2 linked regions of the Drosophila melanogaster genome follow. The protein of the gene in region 2 interacts with the protein of the main gene of each other region in a pairwise test. Each region holds a gene or a part of one and is shown on either strand. Other genes may lie near its edges.

What was found. The genes of interacting proteins can lie anywhere in the genome.
Region 1: the proteins of geminin (region 2) and PPYR1 interact in a two-hybrid assay, tested with the Drosophila melanogaster proteins (one large-scale study listed by BioGRID).

Annotation. Positions count from the first base shown.
Region 1 is NC_004354.4:15,243,019-15,246,898, reverse strand, and holds PPYR1 (protein phosphatase Y regulator 1), read left to right. Parts: upstream 1-1,985; 5' UTR 1,986-2,061; coding exon 2,062-2,991; 3' UTR 2,992-3,040; downstream 3,041-3,880.
Region 2 is NT_033778.4:6,652,997-6,660,824, forward strand, and holds geminin (geminin), read right to left. Parts: upstream 3,599-7,828; 5' UTR 3,530-3,598; intron 3,459-3,529; 5' UTR 3,234-3,458; coding exon 2,655-3,233; 3' UTR 2,467-2,654; downstream 1-2,466. Other genes in the region: Opbp (Optix-binding protein), read left to right, coding at 319-325, 377-1,064, 1,121-1,513, 1,568-2,114, 2,176-2,229; sced (scrambled), read left to right, coding at 4,516-6,984; Dpit47 (DNA polymerase interacting tpr containing protein of 47kD), read right to left, coding at 7,685-7,828.

The DNA.
Region 1 (3,880 bases), on a different chromosome or scaffold from region 2:
CAAAGCAAGTTTCTTCCGCTCGAATTTCTCATTGTGGACTAATTTTGAATTGAAACCAAAACAATTTAACTTTATTGAAAATATTTGTTAAAATTAATATATGATTGTAAATTGGCATATGAAAAGCCAAAGCGAGGCTTCTATTATTTTGATTCAAACTAAATGTTTGGAGTTTCGAAACCGAACAACAAGCAACTGCCGCTCGAATTCCACATTGCGGCTTAATTTTTAATTAAAACAAAATGCACACTAAATGCCCAAATACTTGGAAAATGTCGTGTGCTGTTGATTTTGGCTGCTGATTTTGTTGTTCGAGCGACTGTTGAGTGGCTTTCATTAGGGGCAATCGATTGAATGGAATGGAAAGGCGGCTGTGCCTGCCGTCTTTTGTTGTTTGCTCGCCGTTTGCTAAAATGTTTGCACTTGGCTTAAACGCAAAATTTGCTGATATTTGGCAAACAGGCGAAAGGATGCCCCGGAATGCGAAATGCAAAATGTGAAATGTGAAATGCAGCGATGCGTTGTCAATGGCAGCATCTGCGGTTTTCCACTGCCACGAGTGGAGTGGGTATTTTCCGAGCGGTTTTTCAGGGTAGCGGCTCGAATTGTTCATATTTTGATTAATTTCACTGTTCTGCTGCGACTCCTTGCTGTTGTTGTTGTTCTTGTTGCTGCCGCTGTTTGTCAAGCGGAGTAATTGCAAAATCCAGTGCATCTGTATATGTGCGTGTGTGCTGCAATTATGCTCACGCACACATACGCACACACGCACACTTAAGCACACATGCAAACTGCAGTTAAGCAAATAAAGCGCTAAAAGCATAAACTAAATGAATTAAACGACACACAGAGAGGCTTACAGCCCCTGCATTATGTATACACCCCAGTGTATATGCGTGTATATGTGCATGCACATATATATATATATATATATATATGGCTGATATACACCCACCCATATTTTCCTGGAACTTTCTATAAAATATGAGATAATAAAAAGTGAATTATGTTTTTGCACAGCAGCGGCAGAGGCGAATATATACATAAAAAAAAAAAACGAGAGCAAAAATGGGGCGGTAGAAAAACACGAATCTCGCAAATAAATGCGAATAACTACATCAACAGGGGGGCCACAGCAACAACAAGAGTTAATTGCAATTGTTTGTTCGCCAGCTTAGTTTTTTATTTGCACTTTAATTATGAAAAATAGTAGCAGAGCAGAGCAGAAACTAATTTTCATAAGTACACAACTTTGTGCTGGAAAAACAGAAGCAACACACAACGAGGACGAGCAGACACATGACTTATGACAAAACACAGAACTTGATGGCCAAGACCATGGACCGACCCCTCGACCACTGGACTCTTGGCCACTGGACTTTTGGCCACTCCACAGAGACACAAGGGAGCCACAGGAACGGGAAGCCAAATGAAATGAACGGAGTGGGTAGAACGAAGCACTCGGCGAGCGTATAAAGTTATAAATAATAATGCCGGAAAATTGCGCTGGTAACTGAACGCTTAAATGAATATCCTAGCAACTCCATGGCAATCATATATATAACTTTTCGAAATAAATGAGGGGTTGCGAACACTAGAGACACGTAATTGAATGTTATGAAAAATACAAATATTTTATAACGAAATTCCTTGAGTAGCCTTTTATTGGAATTTGAAAAAATTATGATGTCCATATATATCAACTCAGTATTTATGTACCAATGCACAAGAAGTACATAACATAATGCATTTCAAAAGCCTCCATTAAACATATGCAAAGCATATATTAATTGAGTTATATGAATATATATTATGATCTTATCAAACTTATCAAACAAAAACTGAGCAACTGTAACTTCTGGCTTATATTTGCTGAGTCAATCTTAAACCGTTTTTGGGAAAACTTAGTTGCCCAGTCGATCAGCTGCCAGGCTCATTCCGTTTCTCATTCAGTTCAGCTCCAAACTCGCTCGCCTTCAGAGCTCCGATTATATAATAAATTATATATCTGATTTTTACTTAAATTCGAGCTTTAACAATCGTTGCACCTTCGACGACAGTATGAACGTACCACTCGTAGCCCTCACCAAGGATCCCAAGATGAAGAAGTCACAGAAGAAGTCATCAATGGTGGCCGTTCCCAAGATGTCGCAGAAACCACAGAAGGCAGCACGTCTATTTCAGCCAAAGGTGGAGAACAAGATTACTTTGACCACTCCATTGACTGCACCCAAAAAGGAACGGGTGAAGGACATCAAGGTGGCAGATCCTCTTGAGAAGGAAGTAGAGTCAGTATTCGTTACAGTACCGAAAAACAAACTTTGCAAAACCAGACGCAATCGTCCTGGTGACCGACTCTTTGATCGCCGTTCCGGATCGAAACGCACTGGCGTAAAGGCGGTGGAAAAACGCAATGGAGCCGGGGCCCACAACTGGGGATCCATCCAGCAGGAGATCGACTTGCGTCAGAGGACCAATTTGCGCACCTTCGAAGGGATGAAGTTACCAAAGGTATCGAGTTTCGTCTACGAGTACGATTCATCGGAGGAGACCGAACAATATACACTCGACGAGTGGCGTGCCATGCAGGCGCAGAAAAAGCAGGTTTTGAATAAGTTTATAATGTCTGATTTCGGTACAAAGAAAGAAGTAACAGGGGGTTCTGAAGAAACTGTACGAGCCGAGGGATCAGGAGACACAGACGACACCAAAGGATTGGACAAAACAGGAGGAACTGAACAAACAGGAAATACTGAAACAGGGGAGAGGTCTGCTGGATCTGGAGAAACAGAAACAGCCGCAGCATCTGGAGTACCTGACGCATCTGGAGGATCTGGAGGAACTGAGGGATCTGGAGGATTAGGAGGATCAGGAGAGCTGGAAGACGATGGCGAAGAATTAACCGCTGACCGCCCGTTGTACGTTGTTGATATTCTGTTAAATTTCAACACTGATCAAGGTGTTATTCCTTATCGCTTAAAATTCATTTAATTTGCTTGCGTTTGCGTGTTACATAGTATTAAATCGTTCAAAATTAAATAATACATGTATTTTGAATAATTTCTACGTTCTTTAGGATATATATAAATCATAAATACATATAAAAACATAATCAAATAAAAATTTTATATTAGTTTATCAAGCTTTTAGTGATCTGAACAATTTTCCTTATTTTTTCAGGGCCTTCCAAATAATTGGGAAACCCTTAAAGTCATTTTAAGGCTGTTTCCCACAGTTTTGATGGAATTTTCCGGCGTCACCGCAAACTTTTCAGTTTTCCATGTTGTGTTTCCGCCTGTTTCTCACGCCCACCCCCAAGTTCGCCGCCCTGTTTCTGGTTTTTGTGCCTTCTCCTTCATGTTACATTAAATTGAACAAATTCTAGCGAAACAAAAACAAAAGCACAAAACTGTGGGAGTATAAGGAACTTTAGAGTGCAAAAATGGGGGAAAAAATAAGTCTGCCAACTTTTTTGCGCGGCCTATTCTCTGTCCCCCTCTCCCTATCACAAACTCTATCGCCCTCTCGCTTGCACGAATTACACAACTCACACGGCCCAGAAAGAGCCGGCAATAGTGAGCGAAAGGGAGAGCAAGAGCAACCAAAACTATCTGCGGAACTGCAAATTAAATGAAATTCTAGAAAGGTTCTTAGTTCCACTGTGGGTTTTCCACTAATGAAAATCTCTGTGTTTCCTATTTTCTTCTCCCTTAGTTCATTTCCACTCTGAAAGGTAGAATTCCCGTAGAATTCCATTGAACTTGAATTTGTGTCGCACGTTTTACGTATTCTATAACTGGCAACCAATTAGGAGCAAGATGCCCAGTAAGCCGAGCAGATCTCGGAAAACTGGGTGCTTGTTAAAATTGATTGCCAGCAA
Region 2 (7,828 bases):
ACTGTTGAACAGTGTATCTGTTACCAGAAATTAAAGACGAATCGACTAACATAATCTCTCAGTTAAACAAAAAATATAAAAGTTAACTTTGCTGACAAAAGTTTTTATAATTTTGTAATTACTGGTTCAATGTTCTAGTCTTTAAAATAAATGTTATTAACATTTTAAATTTTGATTGTTAGCCTTGCCACCCAGCTAAAACGCAAATACTTACCCAGCCCTGTGGCAACGCTTCGATTTCCAAAAACCATTTGTTATTATTGCTGTGGATCTGCCCATTATTATTTGTTGTAAATAAAGATTGGAGCAAATTATGCCATGTCATGTAAGTGCACTGATTCCGTGGGTATGAACGTCGAGTAACATGCACTTGCAGCGTCCAACCAGGCCGAGGAGACTACCCCGAACCTCCACGTGGAGGATGGAGACTTATCCGGAGGCGCCTTGCAGCAGGAATTCCTCTACTGCGAGAGCTGCGGCAATGTATACGAGGACACCGAGTCTTACGACAGGGCCCACGGTCCGCAGGCCGGCTGCTGCACCGGCGCTAGCGGGGAATTGGATTTCATCGAGGAGGTCGCCGAAGATTGCATTTCGGAAGAGGTCGGGGAAGAGGACATTGTCTACGCAGACGTACCCCTCTGGGAGCTGGTGGAGGAAGTTCCGGCCAACGTGAAGGCGGAGAAGGACCAAAACGAGCCTAGCAATTCCGATCGCTACTTCTGTTACGACTGCCACAGCATTTTCGAGAACCGAAATAAAGCTGAGGAGCACATATGTCCGCGGGCGGAATCCGGCGGGTCCAGCCAACAAGATGGCGATGCGAAAGCACCCGTCCGGCGAAAGTTGGCCAGTGTCAGTGCAAGGACGGGTCCGAGAGACGCATCATCCGTTATTAGCTGCGGAATCTGCAACACCGTTTTTAGCTCGGAGAAGTTTCTCAAATTCCACATGCGCATTCATGAGAATCGAGCTCCCAAGAGCATTCAGGACGCCCTTCCTATAGGCGCCCATCAGCAGTACAGCGAGCTGGACCAGTTCTACTGCGAAATATGCAACAAAAGGTATGCTTATATCTGCAATAGAAAGAAATACCACGAATCATTTCCTTATTTACCAGCTTCGATGAAACCCTCCTGACGGTACACAAACAGATGCACCAACAGGAATCTAGTGAGATTATGTGCAGCATTTGCAACCGGAAGTTTGAGAACGAAGTTACCTATCAGATGCACCAAAAAATCCATGAGAAACCGCGCGACTCCGAGTCCTCCCGTAAATTAGCCCAGCGTACTAGTCTCGATAAGGAGAAACCCGGGTTTCCCTGCCAGTACTGCGAGAGGGTGTTCACCCGCCCCTTTGAAAAAGTCAAGCACGAACGGGTCCACACCGGAGAAAAGCCTTACGCCTGCGAGGTCTGCGGCAAGACATTTCGGGTGTCATATTCCCTGACCCTTCATCTGCGTACCCACACCAACATTCGGCCGTATGTGTGCACGGTGTGCAACAAGCGGTGGGTAAAATCAAGTTTCATAGAATTACAGTTTTAAATAACTTATTATTTTAGCTTTAAATCGCACCAAGTGTACTCCCACCACCTGCGCATCCACAGCTCCGAACGACAGTTTTCATGCGATGCGTGCCCCAAGACTTTTCGGACCTCCGTGCAGCTGTACGCCCACAAAAACACCCACACCAAGCCTTACCGGTGTGCCGTGTGCAATCGCCCATTTTCTTCGATGTACGCCGTCAAGAATCACATGCAGACCCATAAGGAGATCAGCAGCAAAGGAAGTGTCGGCTCTGGTACGCCGAACATTAAGAGTGCGGCCACCTCGAAGAGCCAGGCAGCTGGGAAGTTCTATTGTAATACTTGTGGAGCTGAGTACGCACGTCTCTTCGCCCTGCGCCTGCACATGAAGTCGGCTCACGGTTTGGTGGAGGAGCAGGAGAATCCCGCCACCTCAACTGATGCTGCACACGTCGCTGAGACCGATGATTCCGAGACTGCGGTGTTGATAGCGGCAGCCGAGGCAGATGCCGCTTACATAAACGCTGTGGTAAACGATGTAGACATCGTGGGCACCGTACCCACCTACGAAGAGTGCGTTGTGGTGAGTTACTAGTTCTTTGTATCTCTTCCCAAACTTACCTTTTTCTCTTCCTTTATTGCAGTTTGACGTGGATAACTTCCACAGCGAGGAAGTTATTACAGATTGGCTTAAGTAGCAGTTCACAGTTTTACATCCAATAAATATTTGTCTCAAAAATATGTTGTACCTTGAGTATTTTATTTTTGCGTTAGCTCCCCACACATTGAAATCCATCCGCATTGATGTAAGCTAATAAACACATTTGTTTTGATGTAGAATTAATGAAAGGAAAAGAGCATATCTAAACTAGCATATGGATGCGAAATGGTTTATATAAGTTGCACATAAAATACAGGAATACGAATTAAATATTGTGTGCAATTGTGCAAATGTAAAACTTTATTAGGATTATAACTGGCGTGTAACAAGTAAATATATTGCTGGCGTACAATTAGACCAGCCGTTGTGTTGGCTGACGACGAACAGGGATATAAACGCGATATTTAACTACAACTAAATGTAAAACCTTAGACTAAAAAAAACGTGTGATTGGTGTGTAGCCTAGGCGTTGACCTTGTCCTCGTCACCCGTAGTGTCGTCCTCCTCCACCTCGCTGTTGTCCTCTTCGCAGATCTCCTTCAGGACCTCCACCAAATTCTTGGCCTCGTCCAGTTCCTGGCGCATAGTGTCCATCTCCTCCTCAAGCCCCTCGATGCGCTCGTGCAGATGGCGGTTTTCGGTGAGCGAGTCCTCCAGCGCCAGTCGCCGCTGCTCGGCCAGCAGCTTGTAGTAGTTCTCGCCGGGTTCGGCTGTGCTAGTGAGATCCTCTGCCGTGATGGGCTTGTCAGCATTGCCAAGCGGAACGGCCTCAGCATCAGTCTGGGTATCCGCATCCTTTGTGGAAATCGCGGGCGCCGTGTCCACGCATTTGCGCTTGCCGTACTTGGGCGCGACTTGGACGCCGGCCTTCAGACGACTCAGCTGATCCACGATGGAGGCGCGCCCTGAACCAGTGAGGTTCTCCTTATCGTTTACGTTGCCCTGCAAGGGTTTCAGGGTCTGTCTCTGCTGCTTCAGGTGCTCCTTCTGCTCGGCCTCTGTCTCGACTTGGATGTAGACCCTGGCAGCGCTCGAAGACATCTTCGGAGATGTGTATTGTGCTTTCGGTGGGTTTGGTTGTCAGGCGGCAGAGCGTGTGCTACTTGCTTGTCTGTTGTTTATGCATTAATTTGTGCGCAACGCTTCACAGTTTTCCATTCGTTGTAATGGCCGCCAAAAAATGCCGATGCCGCGCGCTGTTGTCCAACACTGTTTGCTCAAGGGGCTGCATCACATGCAATTTCATCCCTCGATTTCGTGTCACGACTATCGCAAAAAGTTACCAAATTATTTTAGGAATGTAAAATTAAGATATCCCTTAAAATATAATTACAAACCTACAAAAATAATGTGAAAAATAACAAATCCTACGACTGCTATGTAGTAGAGTACTTCAAAATATTACCAATCATTCATATTAAATAATTATGTTAATAAAATATTAAATAAAAGCTTGCTGTATTCTTGCTGGTGGATGCTTATCAAAAAAGTATAGTATTAAAATTTCTGTATAAAGCAAAACTAAAAACAAAAAATGCAGCTTACTTTTTGGAAACAGTTTTCTAGCGATGTTTTTAAATTGAAAGAAAACCATACCTACCCTGTGTTTTAAACGACAAAAACAGTTAGACAGATACCTAATTTTAAAGTTAAATTTTTACTTCTTTTGCAAATCATAATTCATACTCAGCCAAGTAGAAGTCAAATATACCCCAATGTCGGATGTAGAATTTTAAATACTAAAAGGAAATGCCTAACATTTTTGAAAACATCATTAGCGTTTTTTAATAATAAATATTAAAATAGCTATAAAGCGAAGTATAAATAGGATTTTAGTTTTTATTTGTTTGGTTTTAGACCTGGTTATGGATCTTGAAAATAATTTAAAAGATTGTGTAAATTAGTTAAGAGATTATAAATAAGAATTGCTTGGATACTACCTTCTTATTAAGCTAGTACTCAAGATGTCCAAATAACATGTAAGCATTTAGCATTTAAAAGTATAAATAAAGAACTTAAAAGAGCTGTGTAGCTTAGGCTGAGCACCTTAAGTTTGATTGATGTATATTGAAGTTATAAATTCATTTGTTGGTCTTCTAGAAACGCGATTTCTGTGATATTCCGCCAGGTGGCAACGCCAGTCACGTCACGAGGACACGAAGGATAAACGTGCGATAAGAGAATAGCCGATAAGAGCTCCACCCAGTCGCAAAAAAGATGTAATTCTCGAAGTAGCGGATATAGATCGTTTACTTTTTTATTTTTCACTCGCAACTCATTCACCGCACCTCCATCCGCCCCACCACGTAGCAGTAGCCCCAAGATGGACCACAACGAAATCTCCATGACTATGGACGCCAAGCTGGATACACACGATAAGCGACCAGTGGCGCTGCGTTACAAGACATGGACCCGCTGCCAAGTGAAAATAGAGGCCATTAAGTGTGTGCCCTGCTTCCTGCGGCTCAGTTTCCAGGCCATGGAGACCGAGTCTCACTCCCAAGAGTGTCACCCCGCTAAACCCATTAGCGTCTCCGTAAACGTTCCGGGCGTCAGCTTGAGCCTGGCTACCTCGCGCACGAAGCAGCACTCGTACGGGCTGTTTTGGACGCAAAATCGGCGGGACTGCTTCATCTATTTCGCCCTGGAAACGGAGACATCCTGCCGACGTCACATGAAATGGATGCGGAAGTCGATTAAGAATCTGGAACTTTATCGCCAGGTCTTTCTAGAACAGCGCCGGCTGAGCAGGGGTCCCGGAGGTCTGGGCCCACTGCCTAACCTGCCGGAAACCCTCGACGCTAGCGCTCTCTCTCCGCGAGTCTCGCAAATATACGAGGAGATTTTTGACGGCAGCCGCATCTCCCGCGTCTCAATCGCATCCGGCATTTACGAAGAGATGAAGCCGTCAGTCATGGAGACTCCTTCACCGCCACCGCTGCCCGCACATCCTTACCGTCAGCGAATAAACACTTTTGAGTGCGCCCAGCTTGGCGAGATTGCGCGGTCCAGCACCAATCCCGAATCGGAGCTGGCCAAGAAGAAGAAATACAAGAACATGCTGGACAACCTGTTCGGGAGTTCACGTCAAAAGCGTTCCGGCAGCACCAGCGAGGTGGCCAATGAACCCAGCGATGAGGTCCTGCCACTGTATGAGAATGCCCCCACGCCGGAGCCTGTGCTTCCGGTAAAGCGCACATCCCAGTTGAACAAGTCTCAGCGTAATAGCTTCTCAAGTCCGGACTTGTCCAAACTCAATCTGCTGGACACCTTTGGAGAATACTTCGAGGCCCAGAACCATGAGTCGAGCATGGAGATAAACATTAGTCTGGATGAGTCGGTCATTGAGCCGATCTCTCGCAATGAGATTATTGCGCAAATATCTAGCCAATTGGGCAAAGCAGACTCTTTGGAAAGTCTGAATGTTTCGGAGCAACTTCCGTACAACTTCAACTTTTCCGCTTGTAACACGTCAACCATCAATCTCATTGGATCGCATGGAGCTGTTCCGCAGAGTAATCAGCTAAAGAAAAATAAGATACTGCACGAAGACCTTACGGGATACTGTGTAATGGCACCCATTTTAAAGGCGACGGTAAAAGATTTGCCACCACAGCCAGGCGGCAGTACAGTGTCCACATCCTCCGGATATTCCACGGGCTCCTACTGCTCCTCCACCAGCAGCTGTAACACGGAGGACCAGCCCACCAAGACGCAGATCGCCAATGAGAGTGACATATACGAAGTCATGCATGGAACCTCTCTGAACAGTACCGTCGGAGCGGCTGCAGCTGGATTTGCGGAACACCTCTACGAGAACCTTTTGGCTGTGAAGGCCGCACAGGAGCTGGAGGCGCAGCCTGTCGGCTTTGGACTGAGCACAAGCACACCCACCGAATCTCCCCTGGCGCCGGCCTTGCCGCAAAAGGGAACGCCCAAGGACAAAACTTTGCAACAGAAGCCAGAGGAGGAAAACTACTACCAGACACCAAGAAAGTCGATTATCAGTGTGGACGACAAGATACCCTCCTATTATCCGAACAGCTGCGACACACTCAAGTCAAAGCGACGCAGTCCCACCGAACATGGACCTAGTTTTAGGCACTTAGTCAGTTCCAAGTTGCGACGTGAACGAAAGGAGAACCTCTACATTTCCTCGCCCCAGCAAATCATTGAGCAGCGTCACAAGGCGGCCACCATCTCATCAGCATCAGTATCAGCCAAGACTAAAAGCTCAACCAAAAAGACTGCCGCCCACAAAATTTCTGACAGTGTTTATGCAGTCACCCATCCGGTAAAGCGTCCGAACAGCACCAATAGCAACAATACCCACCAAAGCAACAATAACAATAACAATGAAGGCGTGGATGACGAACTGCTGCACTTGACCGTTTTGAAGAACATTGACTTTAAGTTTGATGATAGCCAAGCATCTGAGGATTCCTGCAAGGCGAAAGCATCTGCTCTTCCCGTAGCGAACGAATGCTTTGTACAGCCAAATCTGGAGAAGGAGTACGAGGATCGCTTTCAAGCGGCGGAAAAGGCTAGTCGTCTTTTGCAAAAGTATGCGACGCTGGCCAAAATCGGGCATTCGCCCAGCAAGGCGTTGCCCGCACCAGCGCGTCTGGAACCCATGATTCAGTCTGTGGCCACGTCCAATGAGTTGCAGCCCGAGGGAGGCACCATGAAAAAGTTCGCCTCCCTACCACGCTTCAAGAAAATTGACTTTTCGCCGCTGAAGATGAGACTCAATAGTGTCCTCCAGAGAAATCCACCTTCGCCGCAGCACTAAAATGGATTCTCCGTTTTCCGTAACCATGTTTAACACTTCGCTGTGGACACAAACTGCTTTTTAACCATTTCGCTATTTATGTTGTAGTTTCTTGTGAATGTGATCTGATTAGTTCGACAAGTTGATTATTATGTTATCCGAGTATATAATACGCTTTCCCACGATGCACTTAGTATTAAGCCTTATATGTATGGTCATCCTGCTTTGTCAAATGTATTTTAACGAACCATATCCGGATCCACTTGGGGGGTCCCCTAGTATTACTACTGTTGTGAACCAACGATGAATGTCTAAGAATATGCTCAATTATGAAAATTTACAAAAACGCTTTTATACGTATTAAACCAAAAACCACATTGTTGACTCATTTAGGCGCCTTGTTGTTAAAGAAAAACTAAATTTAGCTAAACAATTTTCAATTCTACAGATGATTAATCGTCTACCAAAATGGGCTTACGCCGCATCAGATATTTTTTGGCGGCGTAGCCTGAACTACGCTTTTCGGCTTCGCATAACATATCAGAGATTAGTTAAACTTACAATAAAATGCTTCAAGATAGCATAACCAATGCTGAACTGTACCGTGACTAAACCATAAGCTTACAAATAAAATATGCCACAAAAATGAAGTAAACTTTACAAGCAAATGAAAAGGTGTTTGTTTGTTTTCAAGAAGGAATCACTTTATTTGCTCACTGTCTTAACTGTAAACCATGGGTCGTCGCCGTTCGTTTATAAACTCCTGTTCCACTCGCGAATCCTTGTGCACCACATAGAAGAGCAGAGCGCCACCGGAAACGAAAAACCCCTTTTCGGCGATTATCTCGGCCAGCTGCTTCTCCTC